2 linked regions of the Saccharomyces cerevisiae S288C genome follow. The protein of the gene in region 1 binds, or shares a complex with, the protein of each later gene. Each region holds a gene or a part of one and is shown on either strand. Other genes may lie near its edges. A codon is read from its position in the direction of its gene.

What was found. Proteins that work in one complex are often made in the same cells at the same time.
Region 2: the proteins of DPB4 (region 1) and POL2 are in contact, whole or in part, in a cryo-EM structure (PDB 6WJV), measured with the Saccharomyces cerevisiae proteins. Residues at the interface, in NP_010406.3 of Saccharomyces cerevisiae: Ser18 (codon at 1,639), Tyr19 (codon at 1,636), Ile20 (codon at 1,633), Lys21 (codon at 1,630), Glu22 (codon at 1,627), Gln23 (codon at 1,624), Glu24 (codon at 1,621), Ile26 (codon at 1,615), Gln29 (codon at 1,606), Asp30 (codon at 1,603), Arg65 (codon at 1,498), Val69 (codon at 1,486), Asn72 (codon at 1,477), His73 (codon at 1,474), Leu76 (codon at 1,465), Phe77 (codon at 1,462), Arg79 (codon at 1,456), Glu80 (codon at 1,453), Val92 (codon at 1,417), Asp93 (codon at 1,414), His101 (codon at 1,390), Ile102 (codon at 1,387), Gly103 (codon at 1,384), Ala106 (codon at 1,375), Pro110 (codon at 1,363), Arg112 (codon at 1,357), Asp113 (codon at 1,354), Asp116 (codon at 1,345), Gln119 (codon at 1,336), Glu123 (codon at 1,324); in NP_014137.1 of Saccharomyces cerevisiae: Val1270 (codon at 2,857), Gly1271 (codon at 2,854), Trp1272 (codon at 2,851), Leu1273 (codon at 2,848), Tyr1275 (codon at 2,842), Lys1277 (codon at 2,836), Ile1278 (codon at 2,833), Trp1280 (codon at 2,827), Lys1281 (codon at 2,824), Ile1282 (codon at 2,821), Ala1284 (codon at 2,815), Arg1287 (codon at 2,806), Glu1302 (codon at 2,761), Met1309 (codon at 2,740), Ile1310 (codon at 2,737), Lys1345 (codon at 2,632), Asn1348 (codon at 2,623), Lys1581 (codon at 1,924), Glu1582 (codon at 1,921), Glu1583 (codon at 1,918), Arg1584 (codon at 1,915), Gly1585 (codon at 1,912), Leu1586 (codon at 1,909), Leu1607 (codon at 1,846).

The regions. Positions count from the first base shown.
Region 1 is NC_001136.10:690,908-695,274, reverse strand, and holds DPB4 (DNA polymerase epsilon noncatalytic subunit), read right to left. Parts: upstream 1,691-4,367; coding exon 1,100-1,690; downstream 1-1,099. Other genes in the region: serine/threonine protein kinase KIN1, read right to left, coding at 1-575; TRM1 (tRNA (guanine26-N2)-dimethyltransferase), read left to right, coding at 2,014-3,726; COX26 (Cox26p), read right to left, coding at 4,061-4,261. UniProt on the Saccharomyces cerevisiae protein: As accessory component of the DNA polymerase epsilon (DNA polymerase II) participates in chromosomal DNA replication.
Region 2 is NC_001146.8:145,506-154,875, reverse strand, and holds the start of POL2 (DNA polymerase epsilon catalytic subunit), read right to left. Parts: upstream 6,665-9,370; coding exon 1-6,664. Other genes in the region: protein transporter YIF1, read left to right, coding at 7,036-7,980; PDR17 (phosphatidylinositol transporter), read left to right, coding at 8,261-9,313. UniProt on the Saccharomyces cerevisiae protein: Catalytic component of the DNA polymerase epsilon complex which participates in chromosomal DNA replication.

The DNA.
Region 1 (4,367 bases):
ATAGTTCTTTTGTCCCTAGATATTTCCTTCTCTAATTTCTTCTGTCTCTCCAAAACATCTTGTTCATTTTTGGGTGGTGGCAGCATTTGTTCTTTATGTAGGAAAGCCTTTGTAGCACGGTTTACAATTTTTACTGCACAAACCTCATTAGTGTAACGATGTTTTGCCAGCTTCACTTTACCCATAGAACCTGCACCAACTGTTTCAACAAACTCCCAATCTCCTAACGATTTTCGATGAAACTGCTTAGGCATGCCCTGAGAAGACGAAACTCGACTCTGGCTGGTAGTATTTGGCTTTGGTGCATTCTCTCTCGATTTACCTTCAAGTTCTACTTGTCTCTCCTTTTGCTCTGCTTGATGTGAGTTACCATTATTGGCGTATTTGATATCCGCCGGGGGCATTAGCGGTGTGTTCTGCTGCTGCTGCTGCTGTGGACTTTTTCCCATCATTCTCAGCGTAGCGGGCGCCATAGTGCTTGGTTGTGTATGCATGCTGTTGCTTTCACTATTGCCATCATCCTGCTGGTTACCTCTGCCCATTGAGAAGGCAGTATTTACGTGATAATCATCCATATTCTACGTGAGCAAAAAGTAATCGTAATAAACTGTACCTGTTTAAAAGAAGTTGAAAAAAAAAATGCGTAATAGCCCAAAATCCCTAGTATATTCAGTTGCTCTAATCGGAGCAAAGATGTTTGAATTTTACTAATCAATAGTTGGAAAATGAAAGACCGATAGGGTAGGGGGGCGAAGGGTGACAACTAATTATGTTAACTAGCCTAGGTTACCGTATGTCCTTATAATAACGAAGTAAATCTCAAAAAATTTCAAATCACAAAGTGGCTCTAACTAAACCTGCTTGATATCGTATCTCGCTAATACACTTCCTCAACGCCATAATTTCTTGTTAACGTTCCACCAATATCAACTTCTTGTCCCCTTTCTTTCCTTCCGCATTGGCGCCGCGTTGGGTTCCCCGGCTTGCAAATAACGACGATGAGTATAGCTTATTATGTATGTAGGTAATAAAGGCAAGTTACATACTACGATCCTGTGGGAGTGGTGGCAAGCACTACTAGACAGTTTCCATAGCGGGGTTACGTTTGCTCAAGGTTTTGAACTCTAGTTTCTACATCTTGGCTCTCCGTTTTCTGTTTCTTTTCGGAGGACTCTTCTACGTCCTGTAATGCATCGCCTTGTTCTTCTATTTCGTCATGCTCTTTAACCTTTTCCACGGGCACATTCTCCTTATCTTCACCCATATCTATATCGCCATCAGCATCTACTTCACCACTATCTAGTTTTTCCTTCTTCCTCTGTTCAACAGCAGCTTGGTATTCATCTAGTTTATCTCTAACCGGACCCTTCAATGCCGAGTGTCCTATATGGTCCAAAGCACTCAGAACATCATCTACACTGCAGCTTTTTTTATCTTGACTCTTTGCAATTTCCCTTGCAAACAGGAGCAAGTGGTTAACAAATACTGTAGCACCACGCTGTAACGCTAGTGATGCGTCTTTATTTATCAGCAGCTTTTTGCCGCTTTGCTGTGGCACTTCGCGTGCCAAATTCACAATAGTGCTTTTAGGAAATAACAGGTCCTGAATCGTAATGTTCTCTTGTTCTTTAATATACGAAGTAGTGGGGTAATTCCCTTGGGCGTCTTTTCTCCAACCTTTTGGTGGCATCGTGTGTAAAAATATATGGTCTGATATAAATAAGCAATGAAAGGCTTGACTTCTATTTCAAAGTATTAAATAATTAAAAAAATCCTTCCTTTCACCTAAAACCTCTAGGTAATATTCTGTGGCTTCTGCTATTGTGCCGCTATGAATAACAATTTTAAGCTCTGATGATCGAATCTGGTTTTTAACGTTATTCCAATTTGAGCCTTTCTTTATTCGTCCAAAGGGATAAAGCATTATTTTTTTTTCATCGCATTCAATGCTCATCGCAAAGTTACAGATCCTGAGCAGTCATAAGTTGATACCTTTCCTCTTACAATGTAGATATGGAAGGTTTCTTCAGGATACCCCTCAAGCGGGCAAATTTACACGGAATGTTGAAGGCTGCTATATCCAAAATTAAAGCGAATTTTACCGCGTATGGTGCACCAAGAATCAATATTGAGGATTTCAATATAGTCAAGGAAGGAAAAGCAGAAATTCTTTTCCCTAAAAAGGAAACTGTTTTCTATAATCCCATCCAACAATTTAATAGAGATCTAAGTGTTACATGCATCAAGGCGTGGGACAACCTATATGGTGAGGAATGTGGCCAAAAGAGAAATAATAAAAAAAGTAAGAAGAAAAGGTGCGCGGAAACTAACGATGATTCTTCCAAGCGTCAAAAAATGGGAAACGGGTCACCAAAAGAAGCCGTTGGTAATTCTAATCGAAACGAACCTTATATAAATATTTTGGAAGCATTGTCAGCCACTGGGTTAAGAGCCATTAGGTATGCTCATGAAATTCCCCATGTGAGGGAAGTTATTGCTAACGATTTACTTCCAGAGGCTGTCGAATCTATAAAACGAAACGTTGAATATAATAGTGTCGAAAACATTGTCAAGCCAAACCTTGATGATGCTAATGTCTTAATGTACCGTAACAAAGCGACGAATAATAAGTTTCACGTCATCGACTTGGATCCTTACGGTACCGTTACACCTTTTGTAGATGCGGCTATTCAGAGTATTGAGGAGGGTGGTCTAATGCTGGTAACTTGCACTGATTTATCCGTTTTGGCCGGTAACGGATACCCAGAAAAGTGTTTTGCCTTATATGGTGGTGCAAATATGGTTTCTCATGAATCAACTCACGAAAGTGCGCTGAGACTAGTATTGAACTTACTAAAGCAAACTGCCGCGAAATACAAGAAAACTGTGGAACCGCTTTTGTCGTTGAGCATTGACTTTTACGTCAGAGTTTTTGTCAAAGTCAAAACAAGCCCGATTGAAGTCAAAAACGTTATGTCAAGTACTATGACTACTTACCATTGTTCCCGTTGCGGCTCTTACCACAATCAACCTCTGGGCAGAATTTCTCAACGCGAAGGTAGGAACAACAAAACATTCACCAAATACTCGGTTGCGCAAGGGCCTCCGGTTGATACTAAATGTAAGTTCTGCGAGGGGACATACCATTTAGCTGGTCCAATGTATGCAGGACCTCTACACAACAAGGAGTTCATCGAGGAGGTGTTGAGAATTAATAAAGAAGAGCATCGTGACCAGGATGATACATATGGAACACGTAAAAGAATTGAAGGTATGCTATCTCTAGCTAAGAATGAATTATCCGATTCGCCATTCTATTTCAGTCCTAACCATATTGCATCGGTAATAAAATTACAAGTACCTCCCTTGAAAAAAGTAGTCGCAGGCCTAGGTTCCCTAGGCTTTGAATGTTCATTGACACATGCCCAACCATCGTCCCTAAAGACTAACGCTCCATGGGATGCAATCTGGTATGTGATGCAGAAATGTGATGATGAGAAGAAAGACTTAAGCAAAATGAATCCAAATACTACGGGCTATAAGATTTTATCGGCAATGCCAGGATGGTTGAGTGGCACTGTCAAATCAGAGTATGACTCAAAGCTGTCGTTCGCACCAAATGAACAAAGCGGTAATATTGAAAAACTAAGGAAGCTAAAAATTGTGAGATATCAGGAAAATCCAACAAAGAATTGGGGCCCAAAAGCCCGTCCCAACACTTCATAAGAATTTTGATTAGTGTTAGAGCTAAAACGTAAGAAACTAAGGATCCGCCCGAGAACGGTATAATGGACGGAAAAGAATGCTTCTCTTTTGTAATATAGATGTTTAAAGTAATCAGGAGGGCAGTATGTATGTGTAAAAAATAAATAAATATATATATATATTTGAGGAACCAGATCTCAAATGAAAAATATAAGCCAGTATATTTTTTGCATTGTAGCCACTGTTGTAACCTCTGGGCATATAAATAATAATGTATAGCGCCTAGTATCAAACTAAACTCGCCATGTTGGTAGTGTTACACTCATTTTTAGCAAATTTTTTTTTCTTATCAAACTCATGCTTTTCTTGCCTTACTAAAGAAGTATACAGCACCAGGCCAACCTAAACAAACGCTCAATACTGCACTCCATTGAAAGATTTCTGGAATGAGCCTTCTACCTTCCGTAATTACCCACGATTCACCTATTCTACCGCCTGTATACCTCTTGATTGGGGCAGCACGAGCGGAAGATCTCAAAACTTGGCTGAAGAACATTTTACCTATTTAGAATTAAAAGAGTCTGTAAATATCTGTGATATGGTCAAGTGTCTAAAAAGTACAGACAAGGAAACGAAATAAAAAAAGAATTGTTTCGTCATGC
Region 2 (9,370 bases), on another chromosome or scaffold:
TGGTCAAATCAGCAATACAACTCAATAATATATCAAAACCGTAATACTTGGCTACTTGCTTAAACACATTTAACTTTTGAACAATGCTTTCTCTGGGGAGAGTTCCTTCCCACGCGCCGGCACATGGACAGTGGGCACTCATATAGTCACGTTTCACTTTATGACATCTGGAGCATCTCAAATCTTGAATTAAATAGGATTCGATATCAGAACGTAGTTTTTGAATCAGGTGTTCTTGCAACAATACTTGATTAAAGGCTTTGTGACATCTGACGCATGAAAAAATAGATTCAGGAGCTGCCTTACAAAAGTCAATATCAGAAATGAAAAAACAGTATTCACATAAAAAATCCGGCACCACGAGACTCAAACTTGGATCTTTGAATTCCGCTACTTTAGCAAACTCACGCAATTCAAATATCTTCAGCAGTTCTTTTCTCAGGGTCCTGATTTCTAAAATTGTACTCTTTGAAAGTAACATGACATGGCAGAGTGATTTGACAAGTTCTAGAAGGGGATTTTTCACATTCAGATGGGAACCAGGAAGAACAGGAATAACATAGTCTGCCTCATACTGAGGATCTAAAATGAACTCTTGCTGGTTTTTAAAAAGCTTTTTGACTCTTTTCATTAGTGGTTTGGAAAAAAGGTGAGAAAATCCGTTCAACGAGTTTTCAACACTATCTTCCTTATCTTGTTTTTTTACATTAACTATTTGGGTAGGTCTTTGCGTCCCTGAATTCAATTTTAGATAGCTCTGCTTTGTCTTTAGCATACTATCCAATATGATCATCATCCAATCCTCAAATTCGGGCTGATATATTGGTGACAGAAACTTCTTTAGTTGCCATTGCGAAACAGCGGTATAATCCTGATTTTCCTTTTCCTCTATTTCAATACATGCTAATCCACTAAAATTAAACTTATCCATCCATATTAGCAGATCCCAATAACGTTTGATATTTAAGTCCAGATAACTAAACATTGGATTTGTTCTAACTGCCTTCATCATATATTGGCTGTAGGCGTAACAGTTTTCAGGTGAGTACTTGTTTGTCTTTATTAGAATTTGATTCCTGTCTGCATATACAATAGTTGAGCCAAGTGCACTAAATTCATTTACTAATTGAAGTAAGGCTTTTTTTGTTAAGTTATGAACGTGATATCTTAGTAATCCGTCGAATAGTTTCGCATTCGGGTTTTGAACCCAACTTGCCAGGGAATTTACCAACAAATCTGCGGTTGAATTTTCTTTTAGGGCCTCATCCCACCACTCCTTTAACATACCTCTTAAAACATTCAAAGCGTCATTAGAAAAGGCGTCGTGCACGAATTCAGATGGCGAGTTAATAACGGCATCTTTGTCATCTATACCCATATTATTGTTAACTAGATCACTGCCTTCAGCATCATTGATTAATGCTGATGTCAAAATTGTGTTCACTGTTAAATTATCAACACCAACATCGAGAACTACATTGTCATACACACCTGAGTTATTAATTTTGGGAAATTCTGAATCATTCATTATCCATGATGTATTTAAATCAAAATCATTTTGAATGCCTCCATGATCTGGAAGTGGAGCTTTCTCATTCCACCAAAGCACGATGTTCTCTTTTTTTAGTTTTCTTGCATAAAGAACATCAATAATATAATCCATACTATCCAGCCTCAAATTACAGATTGGAATGTTACTATACTGGGATAACTTGATCAAGTGAGAAATCCACGAACCACTGGATAAAACGTGGTTAACAAGTTTCTTCAATAATGTCGGTTGCCAGTTCAATTGGGGTAGAAGAACTTCATTCAAGGAAAGCTTAACAATGGGCATCTGGTTTAGAAGCCGGATTGTGCCTAAGAGCTTAGTGATAAACGGAGATTGTAACAAGAGTAAAAACTGCAGACCTCTTTCTTCTTTTAATTTAGTAGTTTCCTGTGATAGTCTTCTGTACAATTTTGAGATATCTGTAAAATATACAAACTCAAAATTGATATCTTCTTTAATATCAACCAAGTAAGAATATGTTTCTATTTTACCTTTCTTTTTTTCAAACATTTGTTTGTATATTTGTCCTAATGATGAGGCATTTATTTCCTGAGCCTGGTTGGATGGTTTCAAAACTAATATAGTAATAGTATCTCCCCATGACTTGAATAATGAAAAAAATTCATACCCAATTGATGTTGGGAAATGTAGTAAATAGCCAATGTCCATTGAAAATCCACTCAGATACCTTTCATTTTCCGCCATTGAAAGATCCTTCATTTCAAAACCCTGCTGTATTCCCTTGCCTAACGCACCCATTGCTTTTGAGCGGAACGTTACCGAAGCTCCCAAATCCATGATCGCTCTTTGATGAGGAGTGATAGTGCCCTCAAATACACCAAGTACATTTTCATCGTTGAAGATACTAGTGCAGTTTTCCTTTTCTTCCAGAAAGACAGATTCCGGTAGAGTAATTTTGAATAGCTGACCGCCTGCTGGATTAGACGTTTTGGGATTATTTGGTAACGATGCAGAAGATTTTTCAATAAGGCAATTCTTAATCTTTTGTAGCGGCATTGTTTGAGATTTGAATTTCATATAAATAGTTTTTGGTATATGGAAGGTGATGTTCTGGACTTTGCCATTAATTGTTACAAATACTTCCAAAACCCCTGGCTCACCGGAATCCTTGTATTGTAAGACCTCCCAAGTGGAGTTCGCATATGATTCAGCTTGCTTCCTAATCATACTTCCTAGTGCACTTCTTTCACGGGAGCTGTTTGTATTACCAAATAATTGGTCTCGACGCTTTCTATCTCTTGCTTGGATTTTCCATTTAATTTTTTGATAATTTAGCCACCCAACATAGTCCTCGTCCATGGAAGGAATCTCCGAGGGCAATACTAGTGGATCTTCTTCATTTGTAAGCTGATTTCTTTTCCTCTTGGATACGGCTTTCTTTTTAGTAGTTCTTGCAATTTTAATTTTGGCGTTATCTTCTTCTACAGTTGGTTCAAACAAATCCTCGATATCTTTTATCTTGCCCATTGTTGGTACATTCTTTGTCTTCGAAAAAAATTTGGTTAGTGAAGTCTGCTTAAACTTATCCTCCTTTGTAGCGATTTTTCTTTTTAGCCAATCTGGATGTTCAACCCTTGGAACAGGATTGGAAACCCCTTGTAATGCTGCTGGAATAGTAATTATCTTTTGTATAGCAGATCCAAGTCTTTCTCTATAATAACCCCAATCGATTATGGTTCTGATATCCAGATCTTCCAAAGATGGATCTAATGTCCATCGCCTCAGAAAAGACCTTTTGATGGGAATGTCCGCTGAAAATATTGCGACTGGAATGGCTCGTTCAGTAACAGGTGCATTGAAAGGTTTTGAACTAATAATATATTTACATTGTAGACCTTTATCTTTTACCATATCTTCACCCAAAAAATCCCCCAATCTCCTTGCCGTCGTAATAGAAGTAGATTTTTGCCCTTCATATTCCTTTAAAGTTTTTGACATACTTCTATTTTCACAAATCAAACTGACCAAGTCTTCATCTTCTAACATAAGACCATGTGAATCAAGAACATCTAACCAACGGTTACATACGCTTGCTACAGCACTGTAACATCCTTCTAATGTATCACCTTCCAAAAAGACCTTGAAAATATCACTTTGAAAATTTTTTATTAGTTGTAATTCACCACGCCTCTTCAATTCAAAACCTTTCAGTTCAGCAAGTGAGCCGTCTTCATTGAAGACAGCATATCTTTTCTTTATACCTTTTCCTTCTTCCTTGGAACTAGGCAAAATCATGGCCTTATATGGTCCGTCAACTTCGAAAAAAATCGTGTTTTCACTGTGCGTCTCATATATATAGTTCAATGGGTCTTTTAATTCTTGGTATTGGTGATTCGTAAACTTTTGGTGAACTCTGTAATTCAGCATGGAACATGGGTAGGAGAGATAAAGCTTTTTACCATTTTCTAATGTAAAAAAGTAAGTTTCAGGGAAAGATTTTGGTAAGATACACCAAATACCATCAGTATCTAATTCTAATGGTCTTCCTACCCTTTCTACTAAAGCTCTCGCCATTTGAATGATCGTGGCACCTGTTAAACACGTAATCCCCGCCATTTCCATGGAATACCAACGAGAGCCTTTCCTCATAACATACCCATAAAACGAATTCAAAATAACTTTGTGAGCTAATTGTAATGAGTCATAAAGCACAATCATCTTTTTGGCCTCGTCTCTCGCATGCTTATCAGATGGGTCAATTTTGGACAGATTTCCCTTCCAAGTCTTGGCTAAACCTTTGAATTCGTAACGCCTATCACGAAAGGATTTCACGGTATCGACGTAGAATGGATTTTCTCTTTGGCAGACAATGGCTTCTCGTTCGACAATTTCTGATACTTTAACCCTATGATAAACTTTCCTTGAATATTCAGTTAAACGTTTTTTTATGTGGATAACTTGGTCTGCGTAACTTAGTTCATCAAATGTCAAAACTTTCTTTTTAGAAAACTTGTTTTTGTTGGGAAAAGTCTCATTTTGTAATGCACGCTTGATCATGTTATACTCATCCATCTTACTGGGAAAGAATTCTCCTCTCCAAGCCCATTTTAACTTTCTTGCACAGGTTTTTCCGGGTCTATTAAAATCGCAACTAGCACAATCGCGCTCTGCTTTGATACTATCTGGTTGTAGTCTATTTGTAGTCATGATGTTTGGGTACATAGAGGCGACATCTACATGATAGATCAAAGGTAGTTCGTTTCTTATATTGTTTTCCTTCAACTCTAATAATTTCTGCGTTATCTGGTTTTTTATTTCCTCAAAATTCGTTACTTTATCTACACTGGACTTATTTTCAACTTCCACACTAAATTTCAAAGCTTCTGGTAATTCTTGTAATAATTCATCAATGGCAGAAGGATCTATCTTGAATTCATTCTTCAAATCACTCCTAAAAACACCAGCTTCTAATGACTCCACATGTCCACCCACGTAAGTCTCGGATTCTAGAAGATGTCCATCATAGAACCTCTCAATGGGATCTGTATGCTTATTTGGTAGAAGAATATTATGTTGATAAGCTTGAACCATCAACAACATTTCACACAAAGTACCGGTACCCTTTCTCAATGTTTCATCCGGGTTCAAAGGAATAATAGTACAAAGGGAAAAGATAAAAGGATGAACATATTTCATGTAAAGGTAATACGTAGCGACTGCATCGGAAACAGAATATTCGGAAAGGTGCTGTGGCTTTTCAAATGCATACGGCGTCATTAATTCGGGATCCAGTTCAATTGGGTTATAACCTAGCTTAGATTGAGTAACAGCTTTTAAACCCTGGGAACCTTGTGGTAAATAAGAATCACGCTTCACCCAACGGAAACAATCCATGTGAGAGCAGTATGAGGACTTGTACTCACCTTCAGCATCTGGAGCGAAACCAATTTCATCGAACATGTCCAAGCCGTGAATCTTACTTCTGTTATGTATAAAAGGCCAATCGAAAAAGTCACCATTGAAGGTGGATATAACAGTGGGTCGTACATCTCTTATATGTTCAAAAAACCTTTGTAGAAGCGCCACTTCATCGTTTTCGTTAAATATGGTGAAAAAACCAGGATACTCCGGTTTCGGTGTATACTCAAAGTCTTCAATATCCTCAGAGATTATCTCCCTATTTGTTATCAAAAAACCTTCCCCATCGATCATATACGAAATCATCATTATTTGATCTACGGCGGAATCCGGGAATTTTAAAGGCGGCTTCGTGGTTTCTATATCAAATGCCATTACCACAGGGTCGGCAAATGCAATTTTCCTAGTATCTTCAATGAATCCCTGTTGAGTTACCTTATACCATTTACCGACTCTAATGTCCTTGTCTATAGATACTCGGACATGATACGGCACATCATATTCCCTGATATCTTCGATCAGATGTTTGGCGTCAACTTTTTCCGAGCCATTTGCAGCAACGTTATATATATTTCTTTGCACATTATTATTGGCATTATCCTGCAAGATTGGCCTCAGGAGTTTCCTGGCCTCGAATAACTGATTGGAATTTACAAATGATAACTTAATAAGTGTCTTCTGCAGCCCTAAAAGGTGATTGTCCATGGTAAGATCTTCCTTTCTAATGATTTGTAAGCTTTTGAGACAAGATTCCAGATATTTTTTCACTAGTTCCTCCACATCATTTACTCTTGATTCATCGTTACACGCAATAAAGAAGTATGGGTCATAGACAACTGTCGACTTGAAGCTCCCACCCTCTTCATCTAAAAAGTAGAAGTCAACTCCGGAAATACCTTGGTTGGTCGTTACACGTTCTCCGTCATTCGAATTGCCGCCGCCATTACTACCACTGGATAAGGTTTCCTGAGAGACCAGCGTTGCGTGCATGTTCGTCAGCCACCCTACGCGGCCTGGAATCTGATCTATATCCTTCGCATCAAACCTGCCATTGTATTGCGGCGGTACGTATCTTTCAAATCCCATCATCGAATCGATGTCATCGATCTTACTAGCATTTAAGAGCTGTTGCGCGCTAAGCGCATAATTATTTGAGAGTGTGTTGTACTTGTTGCCAGCTGAATATCTTGCAGTGGAAGATCCTCCGTTGTTTTTTTTCTTGCCAAACATCATATACTTGTCCCCTGAGAGTGTTATCTTGATAGAATGTGCTCTTTCATCATCATATGCTCTTTTTGATAGGTCCTCTTCCAGTTAAAATGGTAAAAGATGCAAGAAACTTACGCGTTCTGGTTACCCTACCTGAAAATAAACCATTCTGACAATTCAAATGACAATAAACTTGGGCCTTTGACGAACACTGACAGTGTTACTATTACTTTTTCTCAGTGCTAAAACAGCATATCCGAGACTCTGTATCAAGATCCATATTGCACACCAGAGCTGTTGTTTTATACTACAACTCATCTTTTTGACTTTTCGATTGTAAGACCTCGCTACTGAGTATCAATAGCAGAAAACGAAAACCAAAGGCCCATACCAAGATGTCTTATAATCCGTACGCATATGCAACAAGTGAGCAGAATGGCGTTAACGATCGCTTTTCCCACACTCCACAACAGCAACGACCAATGCAAATTCCGAGGAACACGCCCGTGAATGGCCAAGGTAATGCGAATATGAATGCAAACGTAAATGGCAGTGGCGGTGGTTTTCCATTCCAAGATCCTCGTGGTTCGATGGCATTCCAACTAGGGCAGAGCGCATTTTCTAATTTTATTGGTCAGGATAACTTTAACCAGTTTCAAGAAACGGTCAATAAAGCCACTGCAAACGCTGCCGGCTCTCAACAAATTTCAACGTATTTTCAAGTCAGCACCCGTTATGTCATCAATAAATTGAAACTCATCCTAGTTCCTTTTCTTAACGGAACCAAGAACTGGCAACGAATTATGGACTCTGGCAACTTTTTGCCACCAAGGGATGACGTGAACTCCCCAGACATGTACATGCCTATTATGGGACTAGTTACCTATATTCTCATCTGGAATACGCAGCAAGGTCTGAAGGGTTCATTCAACCCCGAAGACTTGTACTACAAACTGTCTTCTACTCTGGCGTTTGTGTGTTTAGATTTGTTGATTTTGAAGCTTGGCTTGTATCTTTTGATCGATTCTAAGATTCCAAGCTTCAGTTTGGTCGAACTGTTGTGCTATGTCGGCTACAAATTTGTTCCATTGATTCTCGCCCAGCTTTTGACCAACGTGACCATGCCATTTAACCTGAATATTTTGATAAAATTTTACTTATTTATTGCCTTTGGCGTATTCCTACTAAGATCCGTCAAGTTCAATTTACTAAGCCGCTCCGGTGCTGAAGACGATGATATACACGTTTCCATCAGCAAATCGACCGTCAAGAAGTGCAATTACTTCCTATTCGTCTATGGCTTCATTTGGCAAAATGTTCTAATGTGGTTAATGGGTTGATCTTGATTGAAGAGATCAAAGAGAGGATTTAATTTCATGCGCATTATTATTATCTACGGTCAATTTGTTAAATACTTATATACTTTTATTCCTACGTCATAAATTTTCTATTTACTTTTCTTATTTTTCCTTTCACTCAATATGGAGTGGAAAGAGAACAATAGAGGGATTAAAATTCGTGGGAAAAATCACGCTTTTTAGATAGATTTAATTTACATCATTGTTTAAAAAAAAAGACCCTGAAAAATCACACAAAGAAAGCACAAGAAGAAGAACAAAAATGGGTCTTTTTTCAAGAAAACGGGACCATACGCCTGCTGTGCCTAAAGAGAAACTTATTCCATGTGATAAGATATTCTTGGACCCTCCTGCCAAGTATGGTAACGCACCTCTACTGGAACCCATCTCCGAAGATCAAAACGAAAAATATAGAGCTGTCTTACGACATTTTCAAGATGATGATCTGAAATTACCAGAAAATCTCAATGACCTTGACAATGGGACACATGCCAATGACAGACCCTTGAGTGATTGGGAGAAGTTTTGGCTTTCTAGGGAGTGTTTTCTAAGATACCTAAGAGCCAATAAATGGAACACCGCGAACGCCATAAAAGGTCTCACCAAAACCTTGGTATGGAGGAGAGAAATTGGACTTACACATGGTAAGGAGGACAAAGACCCTTTAACAGCTGACAAAGTTGCCGTTGAGAACGAAACTGGTAAACAGGTTATTTTGGGCTTTGACAACGCTAAAAGACCTCTATACTACATGAAAAATGGTCGTCAAAACACAGAATCTTCCTTTAGACAAGTCCAAGAATTAGTCTACATGATGGAAACTGCGACAACTGTAGCTCCCCAAGGTGTAGAAAAGATCACAGTCTTGGTAGATTTCAAAAGTTATAAAGAACCTGGTATTATCACTGATAAAGCTCCACCCATCTCTATTGCTAGGATGTGTTTGAACGTCATGCAAGATCATTACCCTGAAAGGTTAGCTAAGTGTGTCCTGATCAATATCCCATGGTTTGCGTGGGCTTTTTTGAAGATGATGTATCCGTTCCTTGACCCTGCCACTAAGGCGAAGGCTATCTTTGACGAACCATTTGAAAACCACATAGAGCCATCTCAACTAGATGCTCTATACAATGGTCTGTTAGACTTCAAGTATAAACATGAAGTCTATTGGCCAGATATGGTTAAGAAAGTTGACGATTTACGATTGAAACGTTTTGATAGATTTTTAAAGTTTGGAGGCATTGTCGGATTAAGTGAATATGACACCAAGGGCCAACATGACGAATTAAAATATCCTGTTGATATGGTCATTTGATAAACTATAATTAAGATTTTTTTTTTTAACGTTTCCCGCTACACAAACGTATATATC